Arabidopsis thaliana: one gene and its partners. The protein of the gene in region 1 interacts with the protein of each later gene in a pairwise test. Each region holds a gene or a part of one and is shown in the gene's direction. Other genes may lie near its edges.

Region 1 (7,003 bases):
TTTATGGCCAAATAGTTTTAAATTGAAGTCTATACTTTTTCATAATGACGTGACAAAAAACCTTTGTAATAGTTGTTCTTTTTTTTTTTTTTTTTTTTCAATACGCCACAAATTCTTTTAGATCAAATTTTCTTTTATATTGACCATTATTAAAATTCAAATGCATGAGTTACTAAGTTTTGATTAGGAATCCCTTTTGAATGAGAAGAAGTAATTTTTTTTATATATTATCTTATATCAACGATTAAACCTTAGTTATAGTCCTCGAGGTACTCACATATGGGCCTATATCTAAAGAAACTATAAATGGGTCATATACTCATATCATACATACGACGTACTTATTAAACGGAAGAAAAAATATGAGTGGACCAAGTTTCACATAGAACCCAAGTACCCAACTACGAAAGTTTAAGACTTTGGGTTACTCACATATCATTTTTCTTTGTTCTGCCTGACCGGTAGGAAACAAGACGCACGTGCACTGATCTGATCAAACGGCTGCGAAATGTTTTTCTTTTTAAATACGTAAAATATAAAGATTCAATTTAAATGTGAATATATAATAGCTAGATAGGCAAAATTATGTAACTAGTAATATAGTTTTTTGTTTGACTTTATAAATGACATAATGATACTAATCGAAAACAAAATCTCACCTATATTATCGAGTTGACTTGACGACAACCTGCATTCAATTGCAAAGTGTAACCATACAAATGAATTAGCTGTCTCTTTGACTTCTAATGCCTCGTGAATTTACATTTGTATCTTCTCTCGTTTAATGGGGAACTGTAGAACACCCAATGATCTAGTTTTGTTACATCTTCTTCGTTAACTTGGATCGATATCTATTAAGGTTTCTGATAACGAAATACTTGAGACAATATTTCAATATCCTTACAAAAATTTCCGACTTTGGTTTAATAGATATCAATTGCCAAAGGAATATGCTCACACATACATTGAACCTGAACAAAGAACTTTTGAATACTTTTAAATAAACTCATTTCGAGAGATAGCTTTACAAGGAACTGAGAGATATATGGTCACATGCTTTTTTTGTTCCGGCAGTCACATGCTTTTCTCTCGACAAAAGTAGATATTACGTCTCGATGTGAGTATATATAATGGAATTGACACAGACCGAACGGAATAATTTCCTTTCTCGTGAAAGAATATAATTTTAAGAATTGAGTTACAATACATTCTCCCTCAAAATTCGTAATGAAAAGTTGTACTTTCTTAAAGGAAAAAACTATTGTTTTATAATACTTTGATGGACGTACCACTTAATAATGTATTACATTCACTACATCACAAAGTAATACTTGTATGATACATCAAGGGACAGAGCATATTGATTATCATGAAAAACTACTATAGTTGAAAATCATAAAAAAACAAAAGCACATTGAGATACATATCATATAATGGGGGAAAAAACACTCATACGCCTAAAAATTTCCAATGCATACCACTTCATGTTCGTAGATTTATTCAGAAAACGTGTAGGGTATCAGGATAATGAGAGAAACATTAATCAAATCTCACGTGAAGGGATGCAGAGTTAGTAAATGAGATATACAAGTACGATTGCGGACCACACATACACTTATACATGTTACTCGGTCAATGTCATTAATATTTAATTTGAATAAGAAAATACCAACTACATAAATGATTAGTGGTAATAGTATATACAATTATGGGAAGGAAGAATTTGGTAGTAGATACGATGGACCAATAAGGGAAAATCTCATACCGTATCTCCATTAATGACACCTTCTTGTTTAATCTATAAAATTTGGCTTCGATAATTAAACAGAATCTTAAGAACTCTTTTCGATATCTCTTACCTTATCTAACTATAACTTGAAAGAAGAGAATGAGGAAGCTCACGACAAGGTTCATGTTGGCATTGGAACATGTGCAGGCGACGTTTTTTGTGCGGTACACGGCTGATGTACGGTTTAACGTATTCCTTTGTATATGAGTATCATGTTGACAACAAATAAAACGACAAAGGAAATGAACTTTACTTCAACATAAATCTTTTAGACATGTTAAACTAGCTTATATCAAACAATGAATAGTAACGATAGGCTCTCAAAACTCTAATCGATCTATCCTGTCGTTTTCGATTTACGTAAGAATCTTATTAGTATCTTTTTGAATATCCAAAATAACTGATTTTTGTATATAAAAAGTAGTAATAATATTGGCATACAGGCTGGCTTCTTTAGTCAGAAAAGTCTCTGAAGAATCCAACAAAAAACCTAAACCACTTTTAACGTCATCCTTATCTTCGTTTTATTTTTCTTTTAATCAGAAAATCAAAAACAAAAACAGAAGAAACTGGAATCACTCAATAAGTATGGATACTTTACTTATACGTTTCTAATATGTATAGATACGTCAATTCAATACGCAAAATACAATTTCGAAAAAAGCGACGTTTGTGTTTCAGTGCTTTTAAATTGAAAACAAAATGTGTTTTCACACAACAAAATAAAAAATAAAAATATTCTTAAATTTGTTGTGAAACCAATACAAAATACAACGTTCAAAAAAGAAAAACTAAAACGACACACGACATATATGATTTTATAATTAAAGTCGAAGGAAAACGTAATTTTTTCTAAATCTAATGAAAATACCAACAAAAGTTTTTAAACTTAAATCGAAAGAGACCGAACCCAACAACTAAAATCATAAGCAACTAAACACAAACCCTTTAAAAAACATTAGTCTTCAGAATCAATAAATCCTTTATTTTGAAATAACTACGGATAAAATTTATTAAGTATATGCGATCAAACCAAAGATAACATTAATTACTTTCTATCGATATAAGAAACAGTCCCGTCTCAAGCTATAATTGAGCCTTTGCCAAAATAAAAATAAAAACTAAAATCTCTTAATAAAATTTTGTTTTAAGAAAATTGGGCCTTTTATGCTTATGATTGTTTTTAAAATCAGTAATAGATCCATGGCATTTGCCTAATTTGCCATGGGGTAAAGACGGTCTTGATAAGAGTCAATCTTTCACAACCTAAACTAAAGATTTTATAATCCGACAAATAAAACGACCGAAAAAACTTAAATACGTTTTTAGATACGACAACGATAATTAATGTGCATCTAATTACGTTTAAATAGAAATCTTCAAAAATTCGACCATACCAACACTGATATGCAAAGGAAAAACAAAGAATGTAACCTTCAAAATGCAAAAAGAAAAGATAATTAAAAAAGGAAATAACTTAAAAACGAAATGATTTAAATTAAATAAAAAAACGATCCACCTGTGAAACGCTCTCAAGTACCACAAAATGTACTCTCTCTATCACACACAGTTACATATTTCGTTGACAGCTGTCCCCACTAACAGCTGTTTCCCAAATCCCCAACCGTTTTCTTGGAAAGATTCTCTCTTTATTTTAGCCTCACTCTCTCAGACGCATTTCCCCCAATCGCACCGCCACTCCCTGACGTGCTTTTTTCTTTCTCTTTTAAATATTCAAATACGTATCAGACTACTCACGTTACATCTTCTTCATAACTAATCCAATTTAGAAATTACGCAAAATTACTTAAATATGTAGTTTTTCTAAATAGTTTTACATAACTACAATATATAAGAATTTTTAATTTGAATTTATTTTTTGAAAAAGGTTTGCATTTATAATTTGATGTAATATGATTTGATTTTAGTTTAATATCTTTGTTTAGTTATAGTTAGAAATACAGTACATGTTTAGTTATAATTTAACATTCATTAAAAAAACATTACATAATAATTTGTTTAATAGTATATATTTTAATAAATTTTAGTTTAGAGTTTATTTTGTTTGGTTCAAACTAAATTTCAGTTTTCTGGATTTTAAAATAATAAAACAAAACGGCATATACTTACATATTTAATTTGGTGTCAGTTAACTTATTTCAATTTGATTCAGTTGAAAACATAATTATGCACGTAAATAATCCAATTTACAGTTACGAAAAAATTAAGTTGTTGTTAACTAACGATAAAAAATTACCGGTAGAACCGGTGACCTCTCTAACCATCACACCTCGTATAAATACTCTCTCCTCTTCATACTTATCCTCTCAACAAAAATCGTTTCGTTCTTTTCCAAAATCCCCAAACAATAGAAACGCGTTTTAAACGATTTGATTAGTTTTAAATTAAAAAGAAGATCCGAGCGATGTCTGGTTCGACCCGGAAAGAAATGGATCGGATCAAAGGACCATGGAGTCCTGAAGAAGACGATCTGTTACAATCGTTGGTTCAGAAGCACGGACCAAGGAACTGGTCTCTGATAAGCAAATCAATCCCTGGACGTTCCGGTAAATCTTGCCGTCTCCGTTGGTGTAATCAGCTTTCTCCGGAGGTAGAGCACCGTGGATTCACGGCGGAGGAAGATGATACGATTATACTAGCGCACGCTCGGTTTGGTAACAAGTGGGCGACGATTGCACGGCTTCTCAATGGTCGCACTGATAACGCGATTAAGAATCACTGGAACTCAACGCTGAAGCGGAAATGTAGCGGCGGAGGCGGCGGAGGAGAGGAAGGGCAGAGTTGTGATTTCGGTGGTAATGGAGGGTATGATGGTAATTTAACTGATGAAAAACCGTTAAAACGGAGGGCGAGTGGTGGAGGAGGAGTTGTTGTGGTGACGGCGTTAAGTCCAACGGGATCTGACGTCAGCGAGCAATCGCAATCTAGTGGATCTGTTTTACCGGTTTCTTCTTCTTGTCATGTTTTTAAACCGACGGCGAGAGCTGGTGGAGTGGTGATTGAGTCATCATCGCCGGAGGAGGAGGAGAAAGATCCGATGACTTGTTTGAGGTTGTCTTTGCCTTGGGTCAATGAGTCAACAACTCCACCGGAGTTGTTTCCGGTGAAGAGAGAAGAAGAAGAAGAGAAGGAAAGAGAGATTTCTGGACTTGGTGGAGATTTTATGACGGTGGTGCAGGAGATGATTAAGACGGAGGTTAGGAGTTACATGGCGGATTTACAGCTAGGAAACGGCGGAGGAGCTGGAGGAGGAGCAAGTTCGTGTATGGTGCAAGGAACTAATGGTCGTAATGTAGGGTTTAGAGAGTTTATTGGATTAGGTAGGATCGAGTAGTGAGTGAGAAAAGAGAAGAATTGTGTAGCAAATGCAGAGAAAGAGCCAATTTCATGATTTGAGATTTGATTCATTCGAAAAAAAAACTGAATAAATGTATTGATTTTGATCATGACATGTCTTAGATTTAATGAAATTGGTCTATAAAAGGGTTGATGAGGCTGGTCCTCGAGGTGAATCAATGTTACCTTTTGATAAAGTGAAAGAAGAGCATGAACAAAGTCATTTCCATACAAAGAGGAGTTTACAGCATTCTTGATCTCTCTAGACTGGTCTTGCGATTCGAAGAGTGAAGTAATGAATTCTACTGAACCAAGTGACGATTTCCGTAGTTTGTTACCTTCGGTTACCGACTATAGCATCGCAGTAAAGGTTATAGTGTGAGAGACAACATCATATATAGATATTCAATGAATGATACAGAGTGTAGAACAGATCACCTCAATACAACTAACTGTAGCAGTAAGGCCTCTACCGGGGAAATACTCAAAGCACAAGGGAGGTCCTTCCCAATACTGTGGCTCTGCAAAAAAGAAAGAGTTTGATTGTGTTAATAACTATCAAGCGGTGTAAGATTACTGATGTTTGACAAGCAAATACCTTCCAATAGGATGTATGGTACCTTTCTCCATAGCAGCTGCTACAACTAATGCTTCCTTTTCACAATTTGGCATACAATACAACAAGGAGTCACACTTGCATCAATTCCTGCTTGATGATGTCCATAAATGGGTTCAATTGCTTTGCACGTAAGGCTCCTAATGTTTACCTATATAATGGAGAAGAAATATGCACTAGATATGTGTATAACTTGTTGTCCAAGCCAAATTTCCACAGCTCCATCCGGAACAACATCCTTCAGAAACTATCTAAAGAATTGGTTAACTTCAATTTCCACGGAAATCGCGATTTCTTGGTTAAAGTTGAAGTGGATGTAGCTGTTAAAGAGGTAAGCTTAGGTGATTATCACTCAGAAGAAGGTTAAAGTTAAGTCGCTTCTTTTTGCTTTGTGGATTTGGAGCTTAACTATGTTGTTATTGAAACTCATTAAAAACATGAATATCCAGTTATTCATTCACATAATCAGAATAATAAATTAATTACAATATATATTACATTGTACATTATTATCAAATGAATTTCAATAAGTTAACAAAAGAATATTCCTACAGAGAACAAATGAGGTTCTTCCAATTCTTGATTTTCCCAAGTTCTAAGCATAAAAAGAAAAATCTGAATAATTAATCTGAAAAAAAACTAAACAAAGCAATCAATTTCCGGAGCTAGACCAAAGCAGCCACATTAACTGGTTCGGTCGGGAACTTAGTGACCGGGTCCACTCGTGCTGGGACCTGAATGCTTACCATATTCAAGCGTCTCAGTCCGGTCCACGAACCGATGACCCTCACCACCAGAGCTAGGACCCGACTCCTTAATCGCCCCAAGTGACAAACCATCGAAGAACTTAGCCACGAGGTTCTCTTCAGCCTTCGTTAAACCCAAAGGACGAGCCTCCACCACAAAATTCGAACTCACCAACATGAAAAACAGAAACGAACCCAAAACAACTTTGTTCATCATCATTTTCTTTGAGTGGTATTTTTGAGTAGTAAAAACAAAAATGTTTTTTATTTTATTTTTCTTGTGTTCCCTAATTTATGAGATGACTAAATTTGTTGTGAGTAGTTTGTGGACTTGGGAGTTAGAATATATAGTAAAGTGAAGAGCCTTGAAGAAGAAGAAAAGTTTGACATTTTCAGTTTTTGACTTCATAAGCTTAAAATTCAACAAGACGTGAGATTTGAATTTTAGGCTCCTTCCTGGGAAAATACTGAGGTTGCTTCTTGTTCTTGGTCTTC
Region 2 (8,297 bases), on another chromosome or scaffold:
AAACTTCGTCCATCACCATCTCCATCTCCTGCACCGTCTCAACACTCACACCGTTCCTTCCGTTCTTAGCCCTAATTGTCTCATCTTTACCATTCTCCTTCTCCAATGCGTCTTCGTACTGAATCTCACCTTCCTCCTCATTCTCCTCTTCTTCAGTATCGTACTCTTCCCGGCGATTCACAGCGAGATCTTGCCGGCCGGCGGAGAGTGGATGCAACAAACAAGACGCCGTAACTCGTTGAATCAGATCCGAGAAGTTAGAAACCTTGTTCGCCATTTCTCCTCTCTTCTTCTTCTTGCAAAAATCGCCGCCGCTCTTACTGCAAAACGCCGTTCAAGTTACCAGAAATTGTTGAAAGTCAACAACGAGTCAAACCTCCGGAAAGTAATAGAAGCTTTATTACCTGCGGGAATGGTGATTGTTATTCTCAGATTTGAGAGCGAATCTCGGAGGATCTCGATTGAATTGAACAGAGTACCAGTAGTCAATGTCTTTGGGCTCAGTTTCTAAGCTCTCTCGCTCACTCTTTTTCTTTTTGCTGCACAATGAAGAAAAACCAACTAAACGTCACCGGAATAATTAATCTCCGGCCGACGACGACAATAGACGGAGATTTCTGATTATTTCTATCCTAATCTCTGAGAGTGATAGAGTCAGTGACTCAGTGTGGGGAGAAGAAGAGCAATAAGAACTGAATCATAATTACCGAATTAACCCTTTTTAGTTTTATGTTTTGACCCCTGACTTTTAAAAAAATTGTAATCGATGTGACGTGTAAAAAAGCTTAACCTCGATTTTGGGCCCTCGGGGAAAGTTTTTGGGTCTTTCTACAACTTTCTTATTGCACACATGGTCGTCCTCTTTTATTTTTATTTTTATTTAAATACCAATATCTTTTTCTTTTTTTAATTAGCCCATAGGTTAGTTTTACAATAGGTATATTGTTTTTACATGCGTTTAATGAGAAACAATTTAGAAAGAAAAAAAATGAGAAACAAAAATGGATTATGTAGTTTTAAATATGTTTAAGACTATAATTTATCCTTTGTATTCTCTCTTCTAAAAAAATAGCCATTATTAAGTGGTAATTATTCAAGTATCTATTTTTTAGGAATCTCTCTTTTGATTGGACGAGAAAGTGATCCCATAAAGTCATGGATCTTGCCTAATCCAAACCAAATCATATAGAAAATTCTTGTCCCCTTTTTATAAATCCAAAATTTATCATTAAACCCCATGTTAAGAAAACACTTTAAACACATCAATACTTTAAACAAAAGAACAAATTATATTAGTCACAAGTGATATTCCAACTGGGGTGAAAAGGAATATTTACCTGTGATTCCTGGGATTAAGTGAGCATAATAGTATGCCTGGCAACATCTTCTCTTCTCTCTCTCTCTCTCTCTCTTTCTTTAGAAACAAAAGAGATGAACTCCAATATAGAAGAAGAACAGTGATATATATGAAAAATGAGGTTCAAAGTTTCTCATATATATATAGAGAATTTATTGAAGATTTGAGAGAAACAGGCCAATGAGGAAAAAGAGTTTTGATGTGACAAGTATCAAACTTGATTATTTAATTATGAAATTATAATTGAGGAGTGGGATATTTCTTGTTTCAAGTTTCGACATCTAGCCATTTGTTGTCTAGTTTGTTATTACAAATCATATTAACTTCACTGGAAGTATATCCAGAATCAAAACTGAAGCCAGAATCACAAACGCTCAACAAGGCAAAATGATTTCAACTGAGGTTGTCACAAATAAATCAGAAACGCATGACCTCTTAATGTACATATCTTCCATAAGACTTTCTTAAAAATATATATGAAATTGTGCAAGCTACGAAAAAATTAAGCCAGTTCTAGTTTGTCTATAAATGGTGTATCCTTTCTGTGTCACTCTTGTTTTTTTTTATAGGGTGGGTATTCATTAACCATATATAGTTCCCGTGAAATCATTCAGGTGACTTTCTTAACCCTAATATTTTGTGCAAGTTTGACCTAAGAATAAAGTTATACTTTCGTACTTGGTTATACCCCATGCATAAGCTTTCCAAGTGATATAGTTGACAAATCCAGTACCCCCATTATTTGATAGATTCTTTTGTACTAACCTTTGTATTCTGCGATTTAGAAGAATACAATGATGACCAGAGGTTGGTACTTCTTGTAAATATATCTTAAAAATGTTGTCAAATTTTCAAATATTTTCCTTTTGTCGCATCCATTTTAACTCCACTCTTAGCTCGCTATTTTAAACCATTAATTAAATGTAATAGTTGACTCAAAAAACATTTGCTGAACAGAAAGTATATTTGTGTATAATTTAGTATATCTTCCAGTCTTCCACTGATATGATCATATGAACTAGCTAGCTAGGTACACATGTTCAATAAAGAAACTTAAAATAGCTAGTGGTGTAAAATATTAATGTATGCGATGTGTACATATCGCTTATTGCTTTAAACCGAAAAAAAAAGGAAGACAAGATTAGTAATCATGAGATAATGTGTGTAGGATACGATGATCGGATAAAAGAGAAAAGGGTATGTCCAAAGGCGTAGGACAGACATAGGTCTGGAGACAAAGTGATGTGTCATGTGTGTGGTGTCCCCAAAAATTAACTCTGTTGTTAAGCATTTGTGTTTTACCAATCTTTTGGACTCACCTCTTAAATCTTTCTTTCTTTCTCTTCTATTCCTCTCCTATCATTTATTTTTTGGCCATTTTGTTTTCTCCACACACACACGTATTTTTGGCCAGTAGCATTTATAATTTTCTCTTTTACAAATAAAATAGAAAAAAATATAGATGCATATGATCTAATACATAATTTAAAACAGTGTCATCACAGAACTTATAACTTCATGCAACTAGCATGTTTTAATTAACAAAAAAAAAAAAAAACAATGTTTAATTTCTTTTTGAAAAAAAAACAAGAATTTAATTGATATAAAAACCTAGCATGGGCTTGTTTTGAGTCAATCTAATAAAGTTGTTGACAAAGAAAAAAAAAACTAGCATGTATTTATTCAAAAGTTGTTTTGTAACAATTGTTTAAGCACTTCCCCAATGTTGAGAATAAGAGATAGGAATGGTTTTATGTAGTTTAAAGTTCTTGTTTAGAATGGTTAATTTGTGTGAATTATGTTCTTTAAAAAAAAAACAGAAGAGTTTTTCTCATAGGATTAGTGAAGCTTGTCAACGTTGAGGCCTCTTTCGTTTCTGGTTACTATCAAGCAATCATCATGGCCTATATCATAAAGTAATTTGGGCCAGTTTTATTATTAATGGGCCGAAGTCTATGGCCTTTAGAATTTATTTGACTAAAAAAGGGAACCTAAATTAAATTTCTCTTTCAGACAGAATAATTAGAGCATATCAGAGATGCTGACAGACAGATTAATACGCTGTCGTTTTAACGTATTTTTCTAAATATTCCAAAAGAATTTATTTATTTTCCACATTTTATCTGTGAAAAAAAAAGAAAAAAAAAATCCATCTAAAAAGGCGTAAGAGGTCTGGATTCGTCAAAAAGGTCTTTGAGAATCCAAAAACGTCTTATGGTTTAGCTCTCAAATTTCTCCTTCGATTCCATCTTCCTCCGGCTTCAAGTCGCCGGATCTTCTTGATTTCCGATTCACTTGGCTTTCCTCTTCTCTTCCTTTTAACACACGACGACGCTTCATAGTTTTTTGTTGTGATTCAGGTAAACAAATATCGAAAACTAGTTTCCTAAATTTGTTGATTCAGATCGATCTTTTAACCCTCATTATCGTTTTCAATAGCTTCTATGGATTCGATTTTCTGAGTATTGTTGCTTGATTTTGTAGGAAGAGGTATGTAATTCAGGATTTTCCGGTGATTTTGGTGGGAACGTTTGGAGAAATTTCGAGCTTAGTAGTATTCGTAGGAAAGTTTTCTTCTTTTATGATTTGTAGTTTTTGTGGATTAATGGTTGAAGGTGAGAAATGGGGCTTCGATGGATTTGAAAAGATTTTGTATCTTCGTGGAAATGAGATCGTTGGAGATTGCAGCAAGTCATCTCATTCGTATTCACGGGTTTGCTTAGGTACTTTGGAGATATTGAGAGTTTTGGTTGTTTAGTCTTTGATAAAAAGGTTGTTTAGTTTGTTTTCGAGCTTAGAGATGGATGAAGAGGCTACTTCGTGGATTAGGAGGGCTAAGTTTTCTCAAACGGTTTCTTATCGTTTGAATTCTTCAAAGTTAGCTTCTCTTCCTTTTATGATAAACCAAGATAAGTTTTCTGGATTAAAAGCTATACCTCAGAGATCATCTTCTTCGTCGTCGGCATCATCATCGGATCCTAAGTTGGTTTCGAGTAACTCACAGACTACGGGAGATACTTCGAGTTTGGAAGCTGCTGATGTATATGTTGTTGATTCGGAAATACAGACAAACCCGGTTACTCATAAGCAGAGATCTGTTTCTCCTTCGCCTCAGATGGCTGTTCCCGATGTGTTTAAGGAAGCGAGGTCTGAGCGTAAGAGATTTTCTACTCCACATCCAAGAAGAGTGGAATCGGAAAAGGGAATGAAGCCTAAGTTATCTCATAAAAACTCCTTTGACAAGAGATCATTTAACTTGCGGTCTCCTTCAGGTCCTATCAGAGATCTTGGCACTTTGAGAATTCAAGAGAGGGTCAAGAGCAAGAAGGACACTGGATGGTCTAAGCTTTTTGATAATACTGGTCGTAGAGTGAGTGCTGTGGAAGCTTCTGAAGAGTTCCGTGTTGATATGTCAAAGCTGTTCTTTGGGCTTAAGTTTGCTCATGGTTTATACAGCCGGCTATATCATGGTAAGTATGAAGATAAAGCTGTTGCCGTGAAGCTTATCACTGTACCTGATGATGACGATAATGGATGCTTGGGAGCTCGTTTAGAGAAACAGTTTACCAAGGAAGTGACCCTTTTGTCTCGATTGACCCATCCAAATGTTATAAAGGTGATTTCTCCTCTCTCGTTATGTTCTCTTGGTTAATCGTTATGTCAGTCTAGATGGAATGATTTACGGTTTTTGTTAACTTCTCTTCTCTTATTTATGTGCTAAAAACAGTTTGTTGGAGCGTACAAAGATCCGCCTGTATATTGTGTCCTCACGCAGTATTTACCTGAAGGATCTTTAAGATCTTTTCTGCACAAGCCTGAGAATAGGTCTCTTCCTTTGAAAAAGCTTATAGAGTTTGCTATAGATATTGCTAGAGGGATGGAATATATTCACTCACGACGCATAATTCATCGGGATCTTAAGCCAGAAAATGTATTGATCGACGAAGAATTCCATTTGAAGATCGCTGACTTTGGCATAGCGTGCGAGGAGGAGTACTGTGACATGTTGGCTGATGACCCCGGAACATATAGGTGGATGGCACCTGAAATGATAAAACGGAAACCACATGGACGTAAGGCCGATGTATACAGCTTTGGACTCGTTTTATGGGAAATGGTAGCTGGAGCAATCCCATATGAGGACATGAATCCTATTCAAGCTGCTTTCGCAGTCGTACATAAGGTAAAATATTCTGTGCGTCTCCTTACTATTTCATTATTGTAATCTTCCGTAGAGTTTATGCCACAAGAACTGTCTAATGGTTACGGTTAAAGCCTTAGAATTTAACAGACAAAAATCTTCCGGCACAAGTATATTTTAGGTCTTTTATTGTTCAGTTGATTCAACCATTTGAGATATGAAAAATGTTGATCTTTGGTTCAGAACATTAGGCCAGCTATCCCGGGAGATTGTCCAGTAGCCATGAAAGCTCTGATAGAGCAGTGTTGGTCGGTTGCACCAGATAAGAGACCCGAGTTCTGGCAGATAGTGAAAGTGCTTGAACAGTTTGCGATATCACTGGAACGTGAAGGGAACCTGAATCTGTCTTCGAGCAAGATCTGTAAGGACCCAAGGAAAGGTCTGAAACACTGGATCCAGAAGCTTGGACCAGTCCACGCAGGAGGAGGCGGTGGCAGCAGCAGCAGCGGCCTTGGTGGCTCAGCCTTGCCGAAGCCTAAATTCGCTTGAGAGACAGGAAAGAGTCTCTTTTGTAAATTTATATATAATACAAAAAGAAGGGTTTTGTGTTTGTGTTGTATCCTTTTTTTTTGTGGATTGTTGTTGTTAGTGATCTTTCATCGTCAATGTCATCTTCTCTGGATTTGATGTGTAATGACTGCCAACTGGGGAATGGTTGTGATTTGATATTTATGGGATTCAAATATCGTTTCTACTTTGGCCTTCTACATTACATATGTTAAGACTACTATCCATCTTTTCTCATTTGAAGAATATTCTCTGAAACTCAACAGAAGTAATTTGTATTTGTATTTATACAAGAACAAAAGAAATTTAAGTGACATGTATTTGTATTCATCTAAGTAAAAAAAATTCTTCAAATGAGAAGCAGCAGCATGTTTCACAGATTGATATCATCAAGGAGAGAGTTACTCAATGCTATTCTCGTTATCTTCAATCCTCGGCAATGCATATCTGTCTGAATCACGACCAATGAAGCTATGTGTTGTTGAAGAACAAGAAGAATTAGATGCAGATGAACATATCATCGTCTCCTTCATCTCTCTCCTTATAGCCCATAGCTTTTCCGCAATGCCTTTCATAGCTGGACGTGTAGCTCTCGTCGGGGTAACACATTCGCTCGCAAGTCTCAGCATCTTCTCAGCCACTTCAATGGCGGCTCGGTTTCTCTTGAGAAATGGGTCCATTATGAGAACAGCTTCATCGTCTTTGAGTCTCCTCAATGCCTGCCCAAGATGAAACGAGTTTCTCCTGATTTAGTCGTTGAGATAATCTCGAGCTTCTGGTGAAAGGGAAAAGAGAAAGTAACTTACCCATTTAACCGTGAGTCTGTCTTTTCGTGGTCTCTTTAACTCAATGGGACGTCTTCCAGTGAGAATCTCTACGAGCAAAACACCAAAAGAGTAAACGTCGCTCTTGTCAGTTAGTTGAAACGTCCTGAGGTAATCTGGATCCACATAGCCTGCAGATCCTTTGACCTGAGTCGATATATGAGTAGCCCCAAGATCTTCCGACACTAAACGAGCAAAGCCAAAGTCCGCCACTTTGGCTCTAAGCTTATTCGTGATGAGGATATTTGATGCTTTAATGTCTCTGTGGATTATTGGACTATCTGCATTATAAAATCCCTAATGCGTTAAATCTTGGCACAATAAGCTATAATGCAACACCGACAACAATATGACAAGATTACCAGTATATGTGTGCAAATAGGTCAATGCATGAGCCACATCAATTGCAATCTCAAGACGTTCTGCCATTTCAAGGCGGTTACCCCTTAAACCTGTGTTTTTATATAGAGGATCAATAGTTGAGAATTCATTTAGATATTTTATTTTTTGGGAAAGTTCTCTATGCTCTAAAATTAGAGACTGGATTTTTCTCTATATACACGTAAAAGAAGAAGGAAGTACCTCTTGCAACTTACCATCTAGATGTTCTCGTAGGTTTCCATTGGCAACATATTCAACAACAATAACCTTTTCATCTCCATGTTCAAGAAATCCATACAGCTTTACCAAATTCATATGCTCAATCTTTGACAATGTGTATATTTCATTCTTGAACTCTAGCAACCAGCTTTTGCCATAGTTGTTCTGCCACAGAATTTTGAGTTATCGATAATGTCTTCTCCGAATAATTCTTAAGAAACTAGTTCAATCTGTTTTCCACATATTTTCCAAGAAAAGGATTTCAACTACTACCTTTCTCGCACGCTTGATAGCAACAATAGTTCCATCATCAAGTTTTCCCTTAAAAACAGTTCCAAAACCGCCTTCCCCAATTTGATGAACCGAAGAAAAATTTGCGGTTGCCCTTTGAAGCTCCCCAAAAGAAAATATTACCGGGCCTTGATGCCAACTTTTGCTAGAAGAAGAATCTTTCCCAGGACTTTGAAATCTTGAACCAGAAAAACGATATTGACCTGAAACCTTTCTTTCTGTTGACCTTCCAAAGGAGCTTGGTGATGAATAACCAGTCCAGCCTGATACTGCACATATTCAAGAAAAAGAAAAAAGATTGTCACAGATATACAGAGAGCATGGATGTACAGAAATATATCGCATCATCCATCAAAGACCCTCAGGTTTGTAACAAAGTTTGGTTGTCTTAATGGTCGGCATACATCACCAGAGCTTAAGAGATTCAAAGCATGCTCCTGATATTCAAGAAAGGCTGTTTTAGGAAAGATTCAATCAAACACCAATTTGCTTACATGTAGATTCTCTGTCGTGCGTG
Region 3 (7,267 bases), on another chromosome or scaffold:
TCGTTTAGCTTCTCGTAGCCTGCCGACATGATGTGTTTTGTTAGTCGTTTTGGTGTGGTCATTGCTTTGCGGTATTCGCTAAACATTGGCGTCAGTGTCGGATCGTCGATGTCGGATCATCGATATCTCTTATGGCGCATCCGACCTGATGGACCCTGGAGATGGCTCAATTGATTTGGGAGTGAAGGTCTTGCACTTGGTATCTCGTTTATAGCGGTCTGAGGAATTGCCGAGCTGGGTTGGTTTAAGACAACCTGAATTTCTTCGCGTAGGTTGGGTATGCGAATAACGACTCATGTGCATGCGGCTAATTTTATCTTGTATGTGCTCTTGGGCGGCGGTTAATAATCGCGTCGCGCTGCTTTAAATGATCGATGATGATGTTGAGTAGTTCTTCGCCGCGTTGGTTGGCTTTAGCCGTATCGTCCAGGCGATGAAATCGGCTAAGTGAAGCTTCTCCTTGGTCTTTTTGCAACGCTAGGTATTCAGGCGTGGGCGATAACGAGGTCGGTACAATAGATGACGCCGAGTAGTATTCTTCCTTTATTTGAGTTTTCCCGTGCGCTGACGTTATCGTCCGAGCTGCCGAGCTGGTAGTGTCATCGTCGAGGTTCTCCAAGTGACGTCCGCCTGATGACTTCTCCTCTTGTTCTTGGTTAGGCGTGAGTGATAACGAGGTCGGTATGTTTAATGAGGTTATGGGATGTTCCTCTTTAATCAGCGGCACTTCCTCGTTGGTCAGTGTTATTGTCCTGACTGCCGGGCTGGAAGTGTCATCGCCTAGGATGATGGGGTCGATAGTTCCTTGAAGTCCTTTTCTTGTCGAACATGCTGCGATATCGAATGAAGAGGTCGAGTGACTGGCTCTCCCGGGGATCGACGTTGTCGTTTTACTTCCAGAGCCTGACGAGTCGGTATCGAATGCTCCATGTAGTCTGTTTGTTGTCACTTTGCTTCGTCGCGGGGTCGTAGTTTTGAGAGATATCTTCGAGCTATCCCCCTACCTGGCGCGCCAACTGTTGATGCACGAATCACACAAGTACGAAAATGGGATCTCTAGGGAAGGAAGAATCTTTCTATTAAAGACGAGCCTGCGACTTAGGCGAATTGGACGGATTTCAAAGGATGATTTCTTCAACGAGCATTGATGGAGTAAGAACGAGCTGATTGTAGATGAAAGGCGAGCTTGAGGCCGGAAGACGAACTTAATGTCCGAGGAAGAATAGAGTTTATTCGTTTTATAGCTGAACCTTGTAAAAGGTTGCCTACGTACCCTTAGAAAGGGATCAAGCCACACGTAGTTCATATTAGAATAAGTGAGCTAGGCCGTCATTGGAGGTAGGTCGGCAGGTAGTTGACGAGGGATGAGCTATAGCTAGACGAGGAGTTGGACGAGCTGACTAGCTGACAGCTAGGCGGCGAGGACATGGTCGCTGTGATGGGAAGAGCTTGAAGACGAGCTGAGGAGCTTGAGGACGAGCCGAGGAGTTTGAAGAGCTGAAGAGCTTGACGAAGAGGAGCGAGCTGATGAACTACTTGAGAAGGGCCCAATCCGACCCCTAACAAAGACTTATGTTTAGATATGTTTTCATGCGATCCAAACTATACTATATATTTTTTTGGACGGATTTTTTAATAAGTTTTATGGAGTTCACAGACGAGTTTGAACGAAGCGTTTTCTTTATATATGTGCTATGCGAAATAAAAACTTGAAGACAAATTTAAATAATAATGTGATGTAGTAGGGCAATTGCATAATCGATAAATCCGGATAAGTGTGCCCCGATACAACAAAAGCAACAACGTTTACGAAAATTTAACAAGTCCAAAAGTAACAGACATGATAATAATATCCTCATTACAAAACTCAACACACGATCAAAATAAGTGAAACATAACATAAACCATAAACCCTCAAGTTTCAATACGTATCAGGAGATTTAATGGGGGGGGGGGTTAAAATCATATACTCCTCCTTGCCGAACTATTAGGGGTCGGATTGGGCCTACTTGGCCCAATGCCCAAACCCAAGTCAAAAGCCCAAAATAAGTTCCAAACCAAGGAGGAGTATTAAGGCGAAGGGTAGTTTCGTCAAATCCCTCGATGAATGCCCTACACGCGTAGTGCTATAAATACGGAATAGCATGTCATGTCGAAGGGGGGAATTCCGCCTGACACGCAGACACAGAGTAGCTCGCCTTTCTCAAGTAGCTCGTCAGCGAGCCCTTCTCAAGAAGCTCGTTAGCTCGCTCCTCTTCGACAAGCTTATCAACTCGTTCTCTTCACCAAGTCCCTCAGCTCGTCTTCAAGCTCTCCAACTCGTCTTTAAGCTCTTCAAACTCTTCAGATCGCCATTAAGCTCAACAAGCTGCTAAGCTCGTCTTCAAGCTCCTCAACTCGTCTTCAAGCTTCTCAGCTCGTCTTCATGCTCCACTCAACGACCATCTCCTCGTCTAGCTGTCATCTATACAGCTCGTCCAACTCCTCGTCTAGCTATCAGCTCATCCCTCGAAAACAAAACTCATCTACCTCCTCGCCTAGCGGCAGTTCGTCCATTGACTGCATAGTCCACCTATCTCGTCGTCCAGCTCGTCTAGACCTTCAGCAAACAACTCGGTTTATCCAACTCGTCTCTCTACCACGGTTCATCCAGCTTGTCGCACATCTGCCGGCTCGTCAACTACCTGCCGACCTACCTCCAATGACGGCCTAGCTCACTTATTCTAATATGAACTACGTGTGGCTTGACCCCTTTCTAATATGGACTACGTGTCGTCTCGCTTGACTATCACCGAGACAGCACATTGTCAGCTCGCCCGTCTCACGAAGATCGTCCGTCTCAAATAGCTCGTCAGCTCGTCCTTCTCAAGTAGCTCGTCAGCGAGCCCTTCTCAAGAAGCTCGTTAGCTCGCTCCTCTTCGTCAAGCTTATCAACTCGTTCTCTTCACCAAGTCCCCCAGCTCGTCTTCAAGCTCTCCAACTCGTCTTCAAGCTCTTCAGCTCGCCTTAAGCTCTTCAGCTCGCCTTTAAGCTCTTCAAACTCTTTAGCTCGCCCTTCTTACAAAAACAAAAAAGGATATCAATTATGTAGATCAAAACAAAAACAAAAAAGGACTTACAAGGACGTAGATATCAATTATGTAGATCAAAGAATAAGCAGTCCAAATTCCAGCGTTGATGAAACGAACTAACGATAGCCAAAACGGCATGTACTTGAAGGTCTTAGTCTCCGGCGGCATTTTGTCCTAATTGTTTCACGCATTAAAAACTTATCAAAACCAGTTTAATAGTTTACTTATCTATATATTCATCAATAAGTGAGAGCCAGAGAGAGAGAGAGAGCTTACTATGGTAAATAAAAGATAGATGATAACAATGTTGTAAACGTTGCAAACAACACCAATGAATGTATGCTTGCCGGCCGGATAAACTCCCAAATCCCCAGATAGTCATACAATAGACTGTTGCCACAAAACTAAACTCCAACGGAAGCAATAGATAAAAGAGTAATATCTGCACATCAACATCGACATCATCAAAATCAATATACAATATTTTTCTGGATTTGTTTTTTTTTTCTTTGGGATATTTCTATAGAATTTAGTCAAGATTGTGTTTGTTTGTTACCACCTTTTGTGCACCAGTCACCAATCCTTATTTTTATTATTAAATCTATTTTTGATACTATAATTCGTGATTTTCCTTTTAGTTTTATATATATATATACTTACAGAGATGCGAGCTTCATATTATTATTTTTATCTTTTTGAACACCAAAAAAATAGCCTCGTATTATTTTTAAATGATCAATTATGTGATCATATTTAAAAATACGATCCGGTTTTTAAGGGATTTGAACGGATCAAATGTGTTTCCGGTTCGGTTATATAAACCGGTATTTTACCATATCCAACCGAAATGAGTATCGACGGGAATTATCCGTAAACAGAGTGACAGTGAGGTGTGAAGGAAGAAGACGATGGCGTCAATGTCTCTCTCCTTTTCTTCTTCGCTATGTTCATCCAGAATCCCCGAAGGTAAGCGTAGGTTTCGTCACAGAGATGTGGGCATCGTTAGATGCGTTTTGGCTGCTTCGAAATCTTCTCCGGGAAGTGTTACGAAGAAGAGGCTTTGGAAAGACGGCGAATTCCCCGGAATCACGGAGCCGGTTAATCAGAGAAGAACTCCGATAAAGAATGTGAAGAAGAAACTTGACAGGAGAAGCAAAGCTAACGGATGGGTTAACACCGTCACTGAAACTTTGTCCGATCTCATCGCCAAAAAGCAGTGGTTACAAGCTCTCGAGGTATTTCGATTTTCTCTCTTCTCGTTCATGTTTGATTGAATTTGAACTCAATTTTGAATCACGAGTATAATTTAGCTGAAAGATGATTTTGATTGAATTGGGTATTTTGTTGATGATCTTAGGTTTTTGATATGTTGAGGGAACAAACATTTTATCAACCAAAGGAAGGAACTTACATGAAGCTGCTTGTTCTTCTCGGTAAATCTGGTCAACCCAATCGTGCACAGAAGCTGTTCGACGAAATGCTTGAAGAAGGACTTGAACCAACTGTTGAACTCTACACTGCTCTTCTCGCTGCTTACACTCGCAGCAATCTCATCGACGATGCTTTTTCAATTCTTGATAAAATGAAAAGCTTTCCTCAATGCCAACCTGATGTTTTCACGTACAGCACTCTGCTCAAGGCTTGTGTGGATGCTTCTCAGTTTGACTTGGTGGATTCGTTATACAAGGAAATGGACGAGCGTTTGATAACTCCAAACACTGTGACCCAGAACATAGTTTTAAGTGGGTACGGTAGGGTCGGAAGGTTTGATCAGATGGAGAAAGTTTTGTCTGATATGTTGGTGAGTACTGCTTGCAAACCCGATGTGTGGACTATGAATATCATCCTTAGTGTGTTTGGAAACATGGGTAAGATAGACATGATGGAGAGCTGGTACGAAAAGTTCAGGAACTTTGGGATTGAGCCAGAGACTCGGACTTTCAATATTTTGATTGGTTCTTATGGGAAGAAGAGAATGTATGATAAGATGTCGTCTGTCATGGAATACATGCGAAAGCTAGAGTTTCCGTGGACAACATCAACCTACAACAATATCATCGAGGCGTTTGCGGATGTTGGTGATGCAAAGAACATGGAGTTGACATTTGATCAGATGCGTAGCGAAGGTATGAAAGCAGACACAAAGACCTTTTGCTGTCTCATAAACGGATATGCCAATGCCGGTCTTTTCCACAAGGTGATAAGTAGTGTTCAGTTGGCTGCTAAGTTTGAGATACCCGAGAATACTGCCTTTTACAACGCGGTGATATCAGCGTGTGCTAAAGCAGATGATCTGATAGAGATGGAAAGAGTGTACATAAGAATGAAGGAGAGACAATGCGTATGCGATTCAAGAACGTTTGAGATCATGGTCGAGGCGTATGAAAAAGAAGGTATGAATGATAAGATCTATTACTTGGAACAAGAGAGGCAAAAGCTTATGGATCGCACTGTTGCTACAAAAGAGATGGAGAATCTTCCGGCAGGATGATTGCGGTTTGTGTGTGAATCTCTCTCTCTCTCTCTCTGCAAGGAGAGATCGATGTCTCACTTGAAAGAGTAGAATAAAAGAGTTTGTAATACACTTGATTGTTCTTGCAGCTATGCGTGTTATATATTTTGATGGGCCCAAAATTATGAATAGAGGCCCATAGATAAACTGTGACGTGCACAAGAAATCGGACAAGTCCAAAAAGTGGATAAGTGCGTGTCGTCTTTCTATAAATAATCTCTTTTCTCTCATCTTTTACCGTTTCTTCTCGAACAATCAAAAACGAACTAACCAAACATAAAATTGAACACATCCTCTTCCTCTGCTCTCTGCAAACAAAAAAACACCGATTCGGTCAGGAATCATTCGTCGTGAAATCTGTAATGGGGATTGTTGTCAAGTCTTTCAAGGATCAATTCTCCTCTGGTTTGTTCTTCGTTAATCTCTTTCTGATTCTTTGGAATTTTTTTTCCTTCGAAATGTGCTTCTGAAGCAAAGTTTTCATCTTTGTTTGAGGATATAGATGAGAGATTGAAGGAGTCGAACAACATCATTGCGAAATATCCAGATAGAATACCTGTAAGTTATTTCATAAATTTCATGTTTGATTTGTTTCTTGGTGTTTCCGTCTTAGTTGCCGTGCGATTGTGGATTTCCTTAGGGTTCGAATGATTTACTCAATTAAAAAAAAGTCTTCGTTTGACTTGCATCTCTCGAATTTGCTAGAATCTCTGTTTCAATCTTAGAATTTCTTCGCCATGGTTTGATGGATACGATCTGGGATCTGAAATTTGACTGATTTTGTGCGGTTTGGTGTTGATCCAATCACTCTGGTCAATGTCGGAGACGACTTCTTTAGTTGAGATTTGATCTATCACCAACAACAACCCAAACCAATTTGATTTAGGGATTTGGATCTGTTCTTGGTTTGGTTTCTTCATCAGATTCCAGCATTTATGGATGGGTTTTATTTACTTATGTAGGTGATCATTGAGAAATATTCAAACGCAGATCTGCCAGACATGGAGAAGAACAAGTGAGTTGTGACATCAATTTAGCTGTTGGACCAAACCAAGTGTAACCTGTCTAACTGTGAATAATCTTGTTTTTAACTCTGTATCCCGCATTTGTTTATTGTAGATACTTGGTCCCACGAGACATGACTGTTGGACATTTCATCCATATGCTAAGCAAAAGGATGCAGTTAGATCCATCCAAAGCTCTCTTTGTTTTCGTACACAACACTCTTCCTCAAACCGGTAAGATAAGAAGTATCATCATCCATGTAGAGTGAGACTTTACCTGCAGTTTTCCAAAGCTTTCCATTAACACTTGTCTTGAATTATGCAGCTAGTCGCATGGACTCTCTCTACAATACTTTCAAGGAAGAAGACGGGTTCTTGTACATGTGCTACAGCACCGAGAAAACTTTCGGCTAACAAAAGATTTGTCGCTTCATATCGAAATCGAAGCGCACTCTGAATAATCCATTTGTTTGATTCCTATGTTTGTGAATAACGTCAGCTCTTGTTGTTACTGTTATTGTTGTTGTTAGCTGACATTGTACAGAAAAGCTAAAAAAAAGAAAGACATTTGACTTTGTAAATTATGTATAATCCAACTATGGCAATAATAATAAGACCAAGTGATGATGATTCACACGAAACTCTTTTTGCGTTTTGTTCTTCCCTATAAAAAAAGAAAA
Region 4 (8,466 bases), 9.3 Mb from region 1:
TTAACCGATTCAAATTTCTGTTTTATTAAGTTATCGAAAGTTTAATAATTAATAGCACACAAGAATGTAAAAGATACGATCCAAATCTTGATTTGGAGAGCATATACTTTTTTTATATTAAAACAATCTGTCCATACATGTCATTGGAATCTAGATACATCCCAAAACAATCTGAAATATATTTATTATTGCGAAAAAGAAGGGTCAATAATCATAAGAGTGTGCCTATTATACTAGTATATAATAATAAAGTTGGTGGAATAATGAAATACTAAAGTTCAATTATTACTTGTAAAAGTAAACTAAAATCACCTAACTACAAAAACTGATGACCAATGAAATTGTAATGATGGTAACCAAATCCAATTAAATTCTATTCTGGGCAAAAACGAATCGATAATTGGTTAAAAGTGTTATTTTAGTTAGGACAAGACTTGTGATAGTGATCGCATAAGACTTTTAGGGGTTTTATTACTGGACCTATTCTAGCATCATCCTATTTCAAATCCTTAAATTCTTGTTCTCGAACCCGCTTTAAATTTTTCCTCGTTTCATATTATAATTGATTTAAGCAAAAGTATGATCGGTAGGAAATTCTTACAGCTATTATGCACTTTTATAACATTTGTTTTCCAATCAGACTCAAGTGTATATAGTGTGTCCCTTCTAAAATTCACAACTTCTATAACTATATTATATTTTCTCACCACGTTTTGTATCTTTCCTTTTTTGTTTTGGTTTAAAGCAATATGAGAATTTTACATGCTTTAGGTGTTTTTTTTTTCTTTTTACAGCAAGAAAAAATGAAGAGTACAACCCAAAGTTTACAGAGTAATGGTACAACAATTACCAGACGAATTATCTTCTTACAGCTTGGTTAAATCAATTGCTAAAGCACAAACTAATGGCGTGTATATATATTGCATATTTAGCCAAATAGTAAGCTTGAAGATTCTAAGACTTTCAAAGTAATCCCTTGCTGAGTTGCTATTATGCTGTATATGTACAATAGTATATAATAATTAAAACTTTAACGAAGACAAACTCATGTGAAAATGTAATAATCAGAAGACAAAATATAAGTTAATAATATGTCATATATATAATAATAGAAATATATGTTCTTTTCGAATTAAAATTAAAAGGTCTTAATTTTTTACAATTGCAAAAACTTTAAACTGAAAAAATGATTTAATCTTCTGGAATGTACATTATATAATATCCGCCACCCTACTTGCTACCCCTAGCTAAAAGCCAAACCGATGGAAGACTCGCTTGCATTAAATTATGCACTAGCTTAATCTACTTTTAAACTCTCTTATAATACATTTAATTCCTAATTTCTATCGCCATTTTATATTTTTACTGATATCAATATTCGAAGGGTCCATGCCTATGATTCCATGTCATACATAATATTTCCTTTCATACCTACATTCATTTTAATGAAAACCTTAAATATATATCCAAAAGCTATACATTTATGTAAACTAAACTGGTATAATAATTTTTGAAATATGTGTATGTCTACTGATTTACTATTTGATTAGTTCGTAGTAAATATATTATAAATTGTTTAAACATAAAAACAAAAAAAATCATGTAACTAGATAATTTTCTTGACGAAGATTCGAATTAACAACACAAAAAAGTTCATTTTCTGATATCGCAATGGTCTAATTAATGGTTGTTGAATAGTTTATCTTTTCCACGTTTCATAAGCTTTTTTGGTACGCGACATCCATATTGAAAAATGTCTGTCTACACTGAGCTCAATCCAATGAAATTTGTTGTGAATGAGATATATGCATTCACGGATTTCTAAAAAATATGAAGTCCATGACATCCATTGAAACATTTGACAAAATAAAAATATAAAATATGAAGTCATTACAACGTAGAGTAAGGTTTCTAAAAACCCCACTCTCGTTTCGTAGAAGCCCCACTACCACCTCACTTTAATTTCATTCATTATCTCATTTACGTTGATACTTTAAATTCATTTTTCCATATAAACTTGTAAGTATGAAATTTGTACTTAGTATATATTTTATCTATCTTTCCATGATGAACTTAAATATATTACAGTTTGCCTAGCCTTTTTAGCTCAGCTATATATATATATATATATGCTAATGTTGTTACGATGTTTATTGTTTTGTGTCTATATCTTATTTACTTTTTTGAATTATTAATAAAATGGAACAATTATACATATAGATTATAGATACATATATCTAAATATAATATATTGTATCTATATATATTAATACAAATTTTAAAGAACTGGCGGGTTTCTAAATTCTAACATATGTACTGTAAGTTCAGCTTCTTACTAAGTCATAGGAACATGGAGAGCGTTGGCAAAATCATGGTCAGTTTGTTTTGCATTCATAATTGAAGACATAGTAGTATCATGCAATGAAGATATGGTGGGCCAAATATATCATAAAAAAAATAGCGAAACAATAAGAGAACGTTCGTGAAGCTGAAGCATATGAAAAACACGTAAATATATTTATGACGAGTGACATAGTAAGCATACGTGATATTATTATTTAATTAGTAATATAGGCCACCAATCAGAATTCTTTGTCTCAACGATGAATAAATTAACTATAATAATCCAAATTTTTAACATTGTTTTAAGAATATCCGTTATTCAATTAGTCTACCTATAACAATGAATTATTATGGATCCTTTATCGCTATGCCTTGATCAGGAGAATTAGATTAGTTACACTTTCGCAATTTTTGTAGCGATGGATTGGAACAAAAACCAAAACAAAATATAGACTATTTACACATAAATTATACATGAAATCAACTTAATTTGTTATTCTCTAAAGTTTAGATTGTCTTTATAAAATACCAATCATATACCTAACTAAAACTAATGAATCTTTAACGTGCATGAGATGGTGCATGTGCAAATAAAACTATAAAGAAAACCATGATATATTTTTTCTAAGAATGATAGTTTTTGGGAATTTTAGACTTTCGGTCTATATTTTTCGTATGTCCACACCAATTGTTGATATTGCATTTAAAACATTAATTATTATTTTTTCCAAGTATAATTGAACTAGTAACCATGAGGTCCATGACATCCATTTGAAAGATGTCAATTCGTAATATTGTTTCAAAATATTTTTTCGTTTATAATACATAAACTTTAATTTTTCCTGTAAAAGATATCAACTGTTCTTTTCATTTGTGTTACAACCCAATAATTATTAAATATTTGAAACTTTAGTATTTAGAAAAAATACATAAAACTAATAGATAGATATTTTATTTTATTTTGAAACAAAAAGCTAGAAATGGAGAGTGAGAGAAAGGTCCAAAGGCACGGCTAAGAAAACAAAACCGTGGACACCCTGTCCTCAATTTGACAAGTCTTTGTCTCCTCCTTAACTCTCTTCTTCTCTCTCTTTGTCTTATTCTAGTTTGGTCTCAACTCCCAAAAACGATGACGTTTCATTCCTATATAGTCGTCCTCTCTTCTTCTTCTCCTCCTCTTATCTCTACTCAACACCACTCAATTTCATCTCTCTTTTTCCCTTCCATTGTTAGTATAAAAACCAAGCAAACCCTTAATCACTTTTCATCATCATATATCACCTTAATCCACATGCATACACATATCTAGTCTTTTTGATATATGGCAATTGTATCCTCCACAACAAGCATCATTCCCATGAGTAACCAAGTCAACAATAACGAAAAAGGTATAGAAGACAATGATCATAGAGGCGGCCAAGAGAGTCATGTCCAAAATGAAGATGAAGCTGATGATCATGATCATGACATGGTCATGCCCGGATTTAGATTCCATCCTACCGAAGAAGAACTCATAGAGTTTTACCTTCGCCGAAAAGTTGAAGGCAAACGCTTTAATGTAGAACTCATCACTTTCCTCGATCTTTATCGCTATGATCCTTGGGAACTTCCTGGTAAATATACATTCACATAAACACACATAAATCATCTCAAACTATTTGGAAATCTTAATTTCTATTCATATGTTAAGATCTTTCTTCTCTCTTATCACTTTCTCTCTCTATTTCTTTTTTTTTAACCTATATATGTACCTACCTCCTTATGAAGTATTACTATGTCGATCGTTAACAATTCTCAATATCTTTAAACGCTTCTCCCTCTTTAGTTTCTTTCTTAAATTAACCTAATTAAACAACCTACATATATATCATAAGATATACAAATATGTGTATGTTTTCATAATTAGCTTATGTATGTTTAATCATAGATATATGTATATGCAGCTATGGCGGCGATAGGAGAGAAAGAGTGGTACTTCTATGTGCCAAGAGATCGGAAATATAGAAATGGAGATAGACCGAACCGAGTAACGACTTCAGGATATTGGAAAGCCACCGGAGCTGATAGGATGATCAGATCGGAGACTTCTCGGCCTATCGGATTAAAGAAAACCCTAGTTTTCTACTCTGGTAAAGCCCCTAAAGGCACTCGTACTAGTTGGATCATGAACGAGTATCGTCTTCCGCACCATGAAACCGAGAAGTACCAAAAGGTATAAATTCTACTATAACTCTATATATATCCTATTCATACATACATAGATATAACCCTAGCTAGGTGGTGAGGCCTTTAAAATTGAAATTAATCCCTAGACAGTTTGAATTTTTTCTTTTTTGACTAGTTTTATTTATTTATTTTGGAATTGATTCGATAAGATCAAAAATACTTGTGAATGGACTAAATGTCAGGCGGCGTTTGCGCTTAAATCCAGAAAAATGTTCATGTCATATGCGTGAACTCTTTAAATTGCTAGACATGGCCCATATGTTATAGTAGAATACATTAATAGATAGATGCATACACATATATATAAACACACAAGTATCACACTCGACATTCATATACCTTAATTCTGCAGAGACATAGTTAGTTTTTCTTACAATTTATGACATGAATGTTCCTGCTCTTCCTCACATTAATTCATGTCTTCTATTTAAGTTACCCAACATTTTTTGAAATAATTTGGCATATATGAATTATACCAACATATTTATATGCGAACATTTAAAATCTATACGAATGATAACGGTTTATGGAGTAGACCGAAAAAATATTATGTATACGGAAAATGACAATGGATAGATAAATACATTTTTTGGGCTCTTTCGACTTATATGTCGTCACCATTTGAAACCATAAATTTATAAAATTTTCTATGTATATATATGATATTATGATGTATGCATAAGACAGCTAAAACAACAGGGTTGACATAATTATCTATGTGTATGTATTGCACATTCACTTGTACTAATAAAACTAAAATTACGCAATTAAATATATAAAAAATAATAAATATAATCATCTTAATTATATTTGCATTGTTACGTCATATGATAGTACTCTAAATTTCTTCTAAACGTGCTATCTTTTTTTGCTAATGCTAACTTTACATAGTTTGTGAATCTTCTTTCAAAACCATATCTTCGATAAATGATATTTTTCATAGATATTGTTAGTCTATATTTGATAATTTGATATATGTATCAAGTCTCTAATCAATGTGCTCATGTATAATTATAGGCTGAAATATCATTGTGCCGAGTGTACAAAAGGCCAGGAGTAGAAGATCATCCATCGGTACCACGTTCTCTCTCCACAAGACATCATAACCATAACTCATCGACATCATCCCGTTTAGCCTTAAGACAACAACAACACCATTCATCCTCCTCTAATCATTCCGACAACAACCTTAACAACAACAACAACATCAACAATCTCGAGAAGCTCTCCACCGAATATTCCGGCGACGGCAGCACAACAACAACGACCACAAACAGTAACTCTGACGTTACCATTGCTCTAGCCAATCAAAACATATATCGTCCAATGCCTTACGACACAAGCAACAACACATTGATAGTCTCTACGAGAAATCATCAAGACGATGATGAAACTGCCATTGTTGACGATCTTCAAAGACTAGTTAACTACCAAATATCAGATGGAGGTAACATCAATCACCAATACTTTCAAATTGCTCAACAGTTTCATCATACTCAACAACAAAATGCTAACGCAAACGCATTACAATTGGTGGCTGCGGCGACTACAGCGACAACGCTAATGCCTCAAACTCAAGCGGCGTTAGCTATGAACATGATTCCTGCAGGAACGATTCCAAACAATGCTTTGTGGGATATGTGGAATCCAATAGTACCAGATGGAAACAGAGATCACTATACTAATATTCCTTTTAAGTAATTTAATTAGATCATGATTATTATCCATGACAATAATTATTAATGCTGCTTTGCCATATTTTCATACTCCTTATATATTGTTATGGCGATAGACAATGATTGATTACTGCGAGTTTATGTAATGGAACTGATTCTCAACATATATAGTCAATTAAGTAGTTTTTTTTTTCTTGTGTTAAAGTTAATTTCTTTAAGCTAGATTCAACGTAGTTAAAAAAAAAAAATTCACTGTAATATATGAATACAAAATGACTAAGGAGTGCAATCCGTATCAAAAGTTCTCAAACAAACCAAAGAAGAAATAAACTTATTGGATTAGATTTTCATGTACGAGCCCTAACCGAAACCAGACTAAAACCAAACACTAACTAAACCATAACAATAGTAACCGTAAATCCAACCTAGTGATATTTAATTTGGTCTTCATTCCATTTCAAAATTTCAAATTGAATGTTGATATTTTTTGTTGTTTATTCATCACTTATTAGAATTCATTTTGCATTGTCATTTACATGCATTAGATCCAAGATGTTTAATTTTAGTTACCTGTTAGTGCGACTTTATAGATAAACAATCCACTAACTCTTAAGAATTCAACAACTAATTTTGAGATAGAAATATATAAAGATAAAAGATGTTAGCTAGTTTTTTGTCTTTGTAAATATAAGACTAATTAGGGTTTGACAAAAAAAAAAAGCATAGGACGTGCAATATTTGGTAAGAGCAGTTGTTCCCGTGATTTTGTCAGATATGACCAGCATGAACAGTTGTATGTTGTAAGAAATCAGTTCCCTTTTTCTCAATGAGAAAAACAAATTTAAACTTGACTTAACTCTCATACTAGTCTTTTTAATCCTAATTATTAACAATCTTTAATAATATATGTAATGTGGCAAAATCCTAATATATACTGACTTGAATATGATACGAAAGTACTAATTTTAAAGTTTTTTCCCTTTCTAACCGGTCGATGTAACCGTATTTGCATGTTTTCTTAGATTATTTTAAATAATATATGTCTATCACCTATATTAGTAAGTATATATTCATAGATTATAGTTGATTTTGCCCAAAGAAAAAAGAAGATTATAGTTGATTATACCACATCATTGATATTCTGTGACGAATTAGATTACAGTTGCGGTAAACGTATTCGCTAGCTAGTACGACGTGCTTAACGCAAAAATATTCAAAGATAACGAATCCGATTAATATTGGTTCGTTTCTTAATTCTTACATCTAGAATCACACATAAAAACAATAAAATAATTAAAAATTTGATGAATTTTTTATTTTTTTGAGTGATAAAAGGCAAAATGTTTTCCGTTTTTTAGTAGCTTTCTCTTTCAAAATATCTATTTCTGGTGTATATCGTGAAAAAAACTTTCAAAATACGTGAATGTGATGATCGTTGAAAACTTCAAATCTCATTTCCCCTAGGTTACTATAAAAGCCCACTATCCTTTAATGGGCCAGGCATGCTATTTCTGTACAATACAAGATGGACCTGAATGTTTTAACTTTTAACTTTTATCTTTAAGGTCAAGTTAATTGAAAACAAAAACCAAATTTGTGGATCAATTTGGATGCCTCAGCCTACGTATAAAAACATGTTTTTTTTTCGTAATATTAATGGAAATGAATATGTTAAAAAAAAAAAATACATGTTTTTTTCGTCGACACTTTTAAAAATAAAATAAAATTTAAATAAATGTCTTTGACCAAAATAAAAATAATGTAAAATTTGGGAGTGGGGAATGTAGCTCGGAAAAAAATAGGGTATGTAGATCGGAATTAATAAATAGATTTTATATTATTACATAAACAATAATAAAATACACAATGTTGTCTTTATTTAATTAATACAAAAATAATAAAATAGACAATGTTGTCTTTATTAATATTACTTCTCAGCCCCAAAATTAATCTTTGATCGGTCCCTTTTGTTTTATCGTTTTAGGGTTTGTAGCTCCTTTCTCTTTTTTTCTTTTCTCAATTTCCCCCAAATTAAAAAAAAACTCTCTCTTTCAGAGATTTACAAATTTCATTTCTCCAAATCCGAAACCCCAAAGTGAATATTTTTCCTTCTGGGTTTCTTTTGTTTGCCTGGAAACATTTGTCTCAGATTTTGATTTTGACCGGAGTACTCATATTCTCCGGCGATTTCTCCGGCGACATCGTTTGTGAAATGGAGGGA

What was found.
Region 2: the proteins of MYB70 (region 1) and AT5G58950 interact in a two-hybrid assay, tested with the Arabidopsis thaliana proteins (one large-scale study listed by BioGRID).
Region 3: the proteins of MYB70 (region 1) and PPR2 interact in a two-hybrid assay, tested with the Arabidopsis thaliana proteins (one large-scale study listed by BioGRID).
Region 4: the proteins of MYB70 (region 1) and LOV1 interact in a two-hybrid assay, tested with the Arabidopsis thaliana proteins (one large-scale study listed by BioGRID).

Annotation. Positions count from the first base shown.
Region 1 is NC_003071.7:9,903,036-9,910,038, reverse strand, and holds MYB70 (myb domain protein 70), read left to right. Parts: upstream 1-4,006; 5' UTR 4,007-4,214; coding exon 4,215-5,144; 3' UTR 5,145-5,533; downstream 5,534-7,003. Other genes in the region: AT2G23270 (uncharacterized protein), read right to left, coding at 6,468-6,728.
Region 2 is NC_003076.8:23,798,886-23,807,182, reverse strand, and holds AT5G58950 (Protein kinase superfamily protein), read left to right. Parts: upstream 1-3,498; 5' UTR 3,499-3,717; intron 3,718-3,841; 5' UTR 3,842-4,157; coding exon 4,158-4,973; intron 4,974-5,084; coding exon 5,085-5,540; intron 5,541-5,741; coding exon 5,742-6,047; 3' UTR 6,048-6,327; downstream 6,328-8,297. Other genes in the region: GIL1 (glucose-6-phosphate isomerase, putative (DUF641)), read right to left, coding at 1-320, 405-539, 1,338-1,384; CRCK1 (calmodulin-binding receptor-like cytoplasmic kinase 1), read right to left, coding at 6,467-6,784, 6,872-7,170, 7,252-7,341, 7,486-7,654, 7,763-8,049, 8,275-8,297.
Region 3 is NC_003074.8:1,954,953-1,962,219, reverse strand, and holds PPR2 (Tetratricopeptide repeat (TPR)-like superfamily protein), read left to right. Parts: upstream 1-3,915; 5' UTR 3,916-3,979; coding exon 3,980-4,306; intron 4,307-4,428; coding exon 4,429-5,562; 3' UTR 5,563-5,811; downstream 5,812-7,267. Other genes in the region: ATG8H (Ubiquitin-like superfamily protein), read left to right, coding at 5,946-5,988, 6,086-6,141, 6,546-6,598, 6,703-6,821, 6,913-7,001.
Region 4 is NC_003071.7:644,380-652,845, forward strand, and holds LOV1 (NAC domain containing protein 35), read left to right. Parts: upstream 1-3,158; 5' UTR 3,159-3,625; coding exon of another isoform or gene 3,626-3,664; coding exon 3,665-3,956; intron 3,957-4,098; exon of another isoform or gene 4,099-4,286; coding exon 4,287-4,555; intron 4,556-5,586; coding exon 5,587-6,270; 3' UTR 6,271-6,441; downstream 6,442-8,466. Other genes in the region: AT2G02455 (uncharacterized protein), read right to left, coding at 3,626-3,838; AL6 (alfin-like 6), read left to right, coding at 8,458-8,466. UniProt on the Arabidopsis thaliana protein: Transcription factor that acts as a floral repressor. Controls flowering time by negatively regulating CONSTANS (CO) expression in a GIGANTEA (GI)-independent manner.